Oryctolagus cuniculus: one gene and its partners. The protein of the gene in region 1 binds, or shares a complex with, the protein of each later gene. Links are inferred from orthologs where the notes say so. Each region holds a gene or a part of one and is shown in the gene's direction. Other genes may lie near its edges.

Region 1 (2,517 bases):
GGGCCATAACTGGCCATGTGAGGGGACAGGCAAGCTCGTCGTCACCGTCTGCACAGCACATCAGCTGCTTAGCGAGGCGGTAACTGGGCACTGGGTAACTCCCTCCCGATGCTAGGTGCCGTCAGTCAGGTCTCTCGACTCGGAGGCTCGTGCGTGGTTCTGCAGTGTTTGCCTCAGGAATCCTGCAGGAATGCTCGTTTCCGTGGGTGCTCCCTTCAGAAGAGATGTCTGTCGAACATTAGCTTTGTTATAGAACCTGAAACAGGCTTCCCATGCTCTTTTCAAACAGTATATCACCGAGCTGGCAAACGCCCTGTTGTACTGTCATTCAAAGAGAGTCATTCATAGAGATATTAAGCCCGAGAACCTGCTTCTTGGATCAGCTGGGGAGCTGAAGATTGCAGACTTCGGGTGGTCGGTACACGCTCCATCCTCCAGGTAGGTGACTTCAGAGATGGAGGTGGTTTGCTTAAGCAGAAACCCCGGGGCCTAACCATGAGCAAAATATAAGTTACATGTAGATTTTGCAAGGGTGGGGCAGAGTAATTTCGACCTGATAATAAACTAGTGGCTTCAAGAAAATTTTGTTCTTTAGCTGTTTGGGGCTACTTAGGGTGTTCTGGGCCTAGGATTAAAGATGCTTAATGTCTTTAGAGACTAATGAAGGGGGTGAATAAGCCAAAGATGACAAGTGTGTGACAGAGGGGGAGGAGCCCTTAAGCTAACAGGGACGCTGGGAGTGGGAGTGGGAGTGGAGGAGGCGGCTCTGTTTCCTGAAGCTGTTTTAGAAAGCAACAAATCTGTCTTGGTCCAACAACATTTCCTCTGGGGAACTTTGAAAATGGTTGGTTTTGAGGGCGCATCAAGGCAGCTGTTACTTAGATTCCCTTTGGTCTGTTTGTCAACAGGAGGGGGAGCCTTTCTGTCCCTAGAGCTGAAGCATGGGGCCAGAGCTGTGGCATAGCAGGTTAAGCCCCTGCAGTGCCGGCATTCCAAATAGGCGCCGGTTTGAGTCCTGGCTGGTCCACTTGCCATCCAGCTCTCTGCTGTGGCCTGGGAAAGCATCAGAAGATGGCCCAAGTGCTTGGGCCCTTGCACCCACGTGGGAGACCTGGAAGAAGCACCTGGGTTTGGATCGCTGCAGCTCTGGCTGTTGCAGTCATCTGGGGAGTGAACCAGTGGATGGAAAGATCTCTCTCTACCTCTGCTTTTCTCTGCCTTTCAAATAATTAAAATCTTTAATAAATAATAAAAAAGGGACTTGATTAACAATTTAAGTCTTGGGTGAATTTTCCAAATGAAAGTTAAAATAAATAGTGCAGCCTGAGGGGCTGCGGGGATACCCTCCTGTTACAGACCATTCCTGCTGTTTCCAACAGTCTATCCCACCTGCTGTTGGAGTCTTGTCTTTTTGGACTGATAGTTCTGAGTGGGGGCTCTTGTCATCAGTGAGACAAATAACAAAGAACCGTAGGTTTCACGAGGTCGAAGGGTTGAGTCTTTACCTTACCCTGCCCAGTGGTGTCATCAGCAACGGAAAGATAGCACCTTGTTTTGAAGAAGTCCTTTATATAAATGTTGCTGGTCACTTCCCCCTGCATCCCAGATGGTAATGACCGCCAGTTTCTTTGTTACTGTGGACAGGTGCTCTGTAACCCCTGACTTAGTCCATCTCATCTCAGTGCTGAGGAGGGCTCTGGCGTCTGCAGAGGTGGCTGCTAAGTCGCAGGTCACAGTTCACTTGAGTGAACAGTCCTGTGCTCACTGCACCAGGCATGGCTGAACACAGTTCTGCGTGACCTGCAGAACACTCCTGGCTGGGTGTCTGCCACCCCCCAGCTTATTTCCAGCCTCGTTAGAAAAACTTTAGAAATGCAGTTAGTAGTCACTGGTAGACCTGTGTGTCCACCACCTGCATTCCAAGTTTTCATTTTGTCATACTGACTGCAGCTGGGTTTGGTGAACTTTTTATTTTAATTTATTTTTAAAAATTTATTTCAAAGGCAGAGTGACCCGGAGAAGCAGAGAGTGAGATATCTTTGATCTGCTGGTTCACTCCCCAGATGGCTGCAACAGCAGCAGCTGGGCCAGGCTGGAGCCAGGAGCCAAGAACTTGATCTGAGTCTCCCACACAGCAGGGGCTCAAACACCTGACCCATCTTCCTCTGCTTTCCCAGGTGCATTAGTAGGGAGCTAGATGAGATGGTGCTCACGGGATGCCAGTGATGCAGGATGTAGCTTAACCCGCTGTACCACAATGCTGGCTGGCCCCTTTGGTGAATTTTTGAAAATAAGTTGCAGATGTTTAATCATTGAGCACTGGAGTATACATCTACAAATCGGGACATTCTCCTCTGTAATCACAACCAGTCAGTCGTAAGGAAATTAACATTAAGATCTAATATTCTAAATGTTGAATTATCTCCAGAAGTCTAAGAAAATTTTTTTTAAAGATTTGAGTCAGAATTACCCACAGAGAGAGGTCTTCCATCCGCTGATTCACTCCCCAGTTGACCA
Region 2 (3,519 bases), on another chromosome or scaffold:
CCCATGTGGGATGCCGGCCCTGCAGGCTGGGGCTTTATCTGCTACATCAGAGCGCCGGCCCCGATAAGTTGATTTTGTGAAGGGTTTAGGCCCCTCGAGGTTTTCCAGCCTCGGATGACGTGACAGGTGTTTGTTCTGGAACAGCTGTAGACGGGCGCTCACCCCAGCAGTGCCTCGGGTGCCGCGCTCGGTGCCCCCGCCCCGTGAGAGCAGTCGGCTCCCAAGTGGCAGAGGCCTGAGCCGTGGGCCAAAGCTCTGGTGCCGGGCTGGGCGGAGGGCGGGAGGAGGGTTGGCTCCCAGGGCCCAGCCGGGCCCCCTGACCTCTGCCCCTCAGTCCTAGGCACGGGGGCCGAGATCGATTACCTGGAGCAGTTCGGGACCTCCTCGGTGAGTGTCCCGCGGCACCCTGGCCACGCCCCCCCAGTGTGTGTCCCGCGACACCCTGGCCACGCCCCCCCCGTGTGTGTCCCGCGGCACCCTGGCCACGCCCCCCGTGTGTGTCCCGCGGCACCCTGGCCACGCCCCCCCCAGTGTGTGTCCCGCGGCACCCTGGCCACGCCCCCCCAGTGTGTGTCCCGCGGCACCCTGGCCACGCCCCCCCGTGTGTGTCCCGCGGCACCCTGGCCACGCCCCCCCGTGTGTGTCCCGCGGCACCCTGGCCACGCCCCCCCGTGTGTGTCCCGCGGCACCCTGGCCACGCCCCCCCCAGTGTGTGTCCCGCGGCACCCTGGCCACGCCCCCCCGTGTGTGTCCCGCGGCACCCTGGCCACGCCCCCCCGTGTGTGTCCCGCGGTACCCTGGCCACGCCCCCCCGTGTGTGTCCCGCGGCACCCTGGCCACGCCCCCCCCCCCCCCCCCCGTGTGTGTCCCGCAGCACCCTGGCCACGCCCGTGCTCCAGCCCTCCCTGTGCTGCCGGGGCTGTCCGGTGTGGCCAGGGCGGAGGGCGCGCTGGGGCGTCCCCGGGCCGCGTGGAACCCGCTGAGTGCCCCGCCTCCCCCAGTTCAAGGAGTCGGCCCTGAGGAAGCAGTCCCTGTACCTGAAGTTCGATCCTCTCCTGAGAGACAGTCCTGTGCGACTCGTGCCGCTGGCCACGGCCGCTGAGGCGGACAGGTGCGGGCAGGGTGGACAGGGGCGGGCGGGCAGCAGCACGGGGGGCCCCGTGCGAGCAGACGCGTGTGGGCTGACCCAGCCGCCTCGCTCCTCGGCCCCCAGCACGCAGGTCGCCGCTGAGCCCTCGGGGGGCCCCCTGGACACGCTGCTCGTGGACCTGGACCTCGGGGGAGCCCTGCCTGTCCCTGTGAGCGCGTCGGGCCCCCTGGAGCCGCAGGTCGCTGACGGTGGGGGCTGCTCGCTGGTGCTGGGTGGGAGGAGGCGAGGCTGAGAGCCTTGTGACGCGTCTCTCATCCCTGCAGGTGCCGGCCCAACCCCTGTGTATCCTGGAGCCCAGCTGTCCACCCCTGCCCGTGGGGCCCATCGTGGACGTGCTGCGGTACAGCCAGCGAGACCTGGACGCCGCAGTAAGGGGCAGGCCGCCCTGGGGCTTGGCGGGGCGGGCGCAGCCGCGGGGCACACCTGAGCAGGTGGCAGTGGGGCCTGGTGTAAGTCCATCTGCACCATCCTCTGGGTTAGGACCCCAGCCTCTGCCCTCAGACACGCAGGGCCTCGGCCGTTGGCACCTGGTGTGCCCGGCTAGAGTCACGTGGGGCTGACGGGCACACCGGGAGGATGGGCGCTGCGGGGCCTCTGCTGGGCTGTGCCGTGGCGGGTGTCACGATCCAGCGTGTGAGGCATGTGAGGCAGGTGGCCTCGGCCTGGCCAGGGCCCCCGGGGTCCCCTGAAGCCCCGTGGAGCCCGTGACTCCTGACGTTGCTGTGGGGAGGGGCGGGGCGTGCAGCTCCCGCGTGTGTGTGATTCCCAGGTGCAGGCGGCACAGCAGGAGAACCTGGAGCTGAGGAGCCGGTGTGAGGAGCTCCACACCAAGAACCTGGAGATGGGGTAAGGCCGCGGGCCGGCGGGGCTGGCGGGGCCCGGGGCTCGTGGGGCCGGCGGGGCTGACGGGGCCCGGGGCCGCCGCGGCGCAGCACTGACCGCCCTCCCCCGCAGGAAGATCATGGACGGGTTTGAGGGGATCGTGTACCAGGCGATGGGTAAGTGCCCCGCGTGCCTCGTCCGCCCACGGCCACGGGGCTCTGGGCAGAGCTGTGCTGGGCCCCGTCCTGTCCCCACCGGCTGAGTGCGTCCAGCAGCCCCTGTGGTGGCCGGGCTCGGGCCGCTGCACTCGCCCCTGTGGGACTGCGTGAGGGCGGGTGTCCGCTGGCCCCGTGCCGGCCTGGCCCATGCGGTGGGAGGGCCATCTGGCGGGCCCGCGCTTGCCAGCGCCCTGGTGCCTGGCATGCCGGCGCCCCGACCCGGCTGCTCGCTCTGCAGAGGAGGTCCAGAGGCAGAAGGAGGCTGCCAGAGCGGAAGTGCAGAAGGTCCTGAAGGACAGGGAGCAGCTCGCCGCGGACCTGAGCTCCACGGAGAAGTCCTTCTCCGACCTCTTCAAGCGCTTCGAGAAGCAGAAGGAGGTGATCGGCGGCTACCGCAAGGTAGGGCTGCCCGCTCCTCGGCCCGGCCTGGGGCAGCCGTGCCCGGGGGGCCGCAGCGCGGGGGCGGCTCTGCCGACTGCAAGGACAGCGAGGCTGACCGCTGGCCTGGGGGCCTCCGTGGGTGCCTGGGGTCAGGGTGAGCCGCCTGTCTCCATCCTCAGGCCAGTGGCTGGTCCCCAGCCGCCCACAGAAGTAAAGCGGGTACTCCATGGGGGCAGCTCTGCAGAGCGCGTCGGGGAGGGTCGTGAGCACAGAGCCGGGCAGGAGACACCCCCAGGGGCCGCAGCAGCCCCCAGCCCTGTCGGCACGTGACGCGCTATCGGCTGTCCTGGCGGGGGCCGGAGACAGGGCCTCTCCGACAGGGCCGTCTGCCCCGGAGACGCTGCCTCCCTTGCCTCGCCCGTGCCCGTGCCCGTGCCCGTGCTGGGGAGCTCCACGGGCGCACTGAGAAGCCACTGTCCTGTGTGCAGAGGCAGCGCTGGGCTGGACGCCGGGGGCAGGGAGGAGCTCGGGTCAGGGGGCGTGGAACCGGGTGCTGCCCATGGCTGCGGGCAGCAGGTGGCGGGGAGGGGACCCCCGCGGGGACGCCCGCTGCGCACAGTGGCGACTTCCCAGCCAGCGAGGGGCAGCACCTGTGCAGAGGCGAGCGTGTCAGTGTCGGTGCAGTGGGCGGGGCAGCCAGGGGAGCTCGGGTGGCAGGCGCTGGGCCCTGCTGAGCCTGGGGGGAGGCGGCTCCCACGCCAGGGCCACCATGCTGGTGTCAACTGCCAGCCTGCAGCCCGTCCCCTCTACCGTGCCCAGGCACCAGGCAGGCCTTGCCTCACCCCTTGTCAGCTCGCAGGGGTGGCTGGGTGGCGTGAGAGAGGGCAGCTGTGGGTGCTCCCCCCAGAACGAGGAGTCGCTGAAGAAGTGCGTGGAGGACTACGCGGC
Region 3 (2,664 bases), about 21 Mb from region 1:
TACTCAAGAGGCTAGCCTCTTTGCAAAATCCAAACTACCATTTGTTGATTGAAAGAGAAAACAATATAATCCCTACTCCAGATACACTCATAACATCAGACTCAACTTCTTTGATTATTCTGTAATACTTGATACCTGCCTGTTGTGTTTGCTCCTGTTACAAGGCTATTTCTTTTACAATTCCCAGGGCAGGCCCATTGAAACATTCTACAGCACAATTCAGTAAATGCAGTGTCTCTGTTCTAATCTGGCTCGATTCAGGGTTGATTATTAGAGTACCCAAAAGCCTTCTCCAGCAAACTTCTTGCTGGTTCTTGTTGTTTTGTTTTTAAGTTCATGCTGTTGGTGAATAATAATAGTCAAGTTTTTTGTTGTTGTTTTGTTAAAAATTTATTTATTTGAAAGTCAGAGTTACACAGAGAAGGAGAGGGCTAGAGAGAGAGAAATCTTCCATTCGCTGGTTCATCCCCAAATGGCTGCAATGAGTGGAGCTGGGCCGATCTGAAGCCAGGAACCAAGAACTTCTTCCGGGTCTCCCACATGGGTGCAGGGACCCAGGAACTTGGGTCATCTTCTACTGCTTTCCTGGGCCATAGCAGAGAGCTGAATCTGAAGTGGAGCAGCCAGGACTTGAACTGGCGCCCATATGGGATACCAGCACTGCAGGTGGCAGCTTTATCCCTTACGCCACAGCACCAACCCCAGTAGTCAAGTTTAAGATTGTACTGTAACAAATTCTTAATTTGTAAAATTCTGCTACAATTGAGTACAGCCCCTTTTACTCTTTGACACCGGAGATGGGTTTTTTTGTTTTGTTTTTAAGATTTATTCATTTGAAAAGCAGAGTAATAGAGAGAGGGAAAGATAGAGAGATCTTCCATCCTCTGGTTCACTTCCCACATGGCTGCAATGGCTAGGCTGGTCCAGGCAGAAGACAGGAGCCAGGAGCTCACATCCCGTGTGGTTGCAGAGGCCCAAGTACTTGGGCAATCTTCCGCTGCTTTCCCAGGCACATTATCAGGGAGCTGGATTGGAAGTGGAGCAGCCAAGACTCAAACCAGTGGCTTAACTCATGTTGCCACAACACCTTCAGTGAAAGCTGAGGAACCCAGCAAAACCCTGAATAAACAGAAATCTGGGCTCCAAAACCCTGTGTACTTTTCCATTATACTGTGTTGTCTTACCCACTCCCCCTTTCTTTAAGTTAGTGACTGGGATCTGCAAGTCTATGCAAACATTTTCTCAGAAAGAAATAAAAGCAACTATAAGCATTGTTTGCTAATATTCTAGTCAGTGGTAACTTTATTTTCCTTACTCTGCAGGTGCACAAAGCAAATCCAATACGCAAGTATCAGGGTGTGGAAGTAAAGTCAAGTGACCAACCTCTGACTGTGCCTGTATCTCCCAAGTTCTCCACTCGATTCCACTGCTAAACTCAGCTGTGACCTGCAGATACTGCTTGGCAGCTGGAGCTGCTTTTAACGTCAAACCAGGAGCCTTCTTCCTTGTCGCTGGGAGTGGAGAGAACCGATTTCTCCAGTCTTTTCAGCTACTCGTGTCAGACAGAATGTACTTGACAACTATGGGCTCAAGTTTTGTTGAGAGTTGTTTTTTTTTTTTTTGAGGCTAATAATGAGACTCAATTCATGTATGCCTTGATTAGACTCCATGTAGTTATTTCCTTTATACCATCAGTTGACCTTTAATATGTGTCTTAACTCTGGCTAGAATTTCAAGTCTCTGTGATAGCACAGTGCAGTCTTATTCCCATTGCCCCCTTCTGCCTTTCTTATATATATATATATATTATTATTATTTTTAAATCAGAAAATAAAGATAGTTAAATCCTGAGATAGGGTTTAAGTCCTGGTTTCAATGAGGAGCAAATGCTACTTCAGATTCTTTCCTCCTCTCTGCACAAATGAGTTTGTAGTTAAGAAGCCCTGTGCTATAAGGGTGAAAACCTCATTAACTGCATCACTGAGGAAGAAGATGGCGTGAACGCATGGGAACCTCACAGCAACCATTTGGCAAGCTTTGGGCAGAGCTGGTTTTAAGGTATCTTCTTCCCTTATCTGTGCTGAGAATTACAGAGAGCAGTGCAGTGTGCATTTTAAAACCTGGCATGTAATAAATACTTTTCGTCTTCTCCTCTCTCATTTTGTTATTTGATACTTTTCAAATCTGTCAAGCCTCTTTGAAGGACATCTCTCACTGGGGAAATGGGTAGTTTGAGAGGTGGGTCCAGAATCTTTTTTTTGTTTTTTTTAAGATGTATTTATTTGAAAGGCAGAGTGACAGAGAGAGAGAGAGAGGAAGAGACAGATCTCCCATCCGCTGATTCACTTCCCAAATGGCCACAACAGCCAGAGCTGGGCCAGGCTAAAGCCACAAGCCAGGAGCTTCTTCCAGGTTTCCTATGTGGGTGCAGGGTCCCAAGCACTTGGGCCATCTTCTGCTATTTTCCCTAGTGCACTAGCAGAGAGCTGGATGAAAAGTAGAGTAGTCCTGACTCAAAGTGGTACCAGCATGGGATGCCAGCCCTACAGGCCATAGCATAACTTGCTGTACCACAATGCCAGCCACTCCAGAAACTTGAAAGCACAGGCTCAGTCCTTAAAAAAAAAAGTTGTAATTTTTTTTCTTATATTAGAATATTCTTCC

The links.
Region 2: the proteins of AURKA (region 1) and TACC3 are in contact, whole or in part, in a crystal structure (PDB 5ODT), measured with the Homo sapiens proteins. The link is inferred for Oryctolagus cuniculus from reciprocal best matches to the Homo sapiens genes AURKA and TACC3. Residues at the interface, in NP_001310232.1 of Homo sapiens: Leu130, Phe133, Glu134, Ile135, Gly136, Arg137, Tyr148, Leu149, Ala150, Arg151, Ile158, Val163, Arg205, Tyr207; in NP_001428248.1 of Homo sapiens: Glu523, Ser524, Phe525, Arg526, Pro528, Val531, Leu532, Gly533.
Region 3: the proteins of AURKA (region 1) and TPX2 are in contact, whole or in part, in a crystal structure (PDB 3HA6), measured with the Homo sapiens proteins. The link is inferred for Oryctolagus cuniculus from reciprocal best matches to the Homo sapiens genes AURKA and TPX2. Residues at the interface, in NP_001310232.1 of Homo sapiens: Lys125, Arg126, Gln127, Trp128, Asp132, Glu152, Gln154, Ser155, Phe157, Leu159, Lys166, Glu170, Gly173, Glu175, Leu178, Arg179, Val182, Glu183, Ile184, Ser186, His187, Leu188, Arg189, Tyr197, Gly198, Tyr199, His201, Val206, Tyr246, Ser249; in NP_036244.2 of Homo sapiens: Gln3, Lys5, Ser6, Ser7, Tyr8, Ser9, Tyr10, Asp11, Ala12, Pro13, Ser14, Asp15, Phe16, Ile17, Phe19, Ser20, Ile31, Asp32, Trp34, Phe35, Glu36, Lys38, Ala39.

The regions. Positions count from the first base shown.
Region 1 is NC_091442.1:5,237,541-5,240,057, forward strand, and holds part of AURKA (aurora kinase A), read left to right. Parts: intron 1-289; coding exon 290-438; intron 439-2,517. UniProt on the Homo sapiens protein: Mitotic serine/threonine kinase that contributes to the regulation of cell cycle progression.
Region 2 is NC_091433.1:622,278-625,796, forward strand, and holds part of TACC3 (transforming acidic coiled-coil-containing protein 3), read left to right. Parts: intron 1-334; coding exon 335-387; intron 388-1,001; coding exon 1,002-1,111; intron 1,112-1,213; coding exon 1,214-1,328; intron 1,329-1,413; coding exon 1,414-1,518; intron 1,519-1,919; coding exon 1,920-1,996; intron 1,997-2,104; coding exon 2,105-2,148; intron 2,149-2,428; coding exon 2,429-2,589; intron 2,590-3,478; coding exon 3,479-3,519. UniProt on the Homo sapiens protein: Plays a role in the microtubule-dependent coupling of the nucleus and the centrosome. Involved in the processes that regulate centrosome-mediated interkinetic nuclear migration (INM) of neural progenitors.
Region 3 is NC_091442.1:25,931,771-25,934,434, reverse strand, and holds the end of TPX2 (targeting protein for Xklp2), read left to right. Parts: intron 1-1,322; coding exon 1,323-1,433; 3' UTR 1,434-2,149; downstream 2,150-2,664. UniProt on the Homo sapiens protein: Spindle assembly factor required for normal assembly of mitotic spindles. Required for normal assembly of microtubules during apoptosis. Required for chromatin and/or kinetochore dependent microtubule nucleation.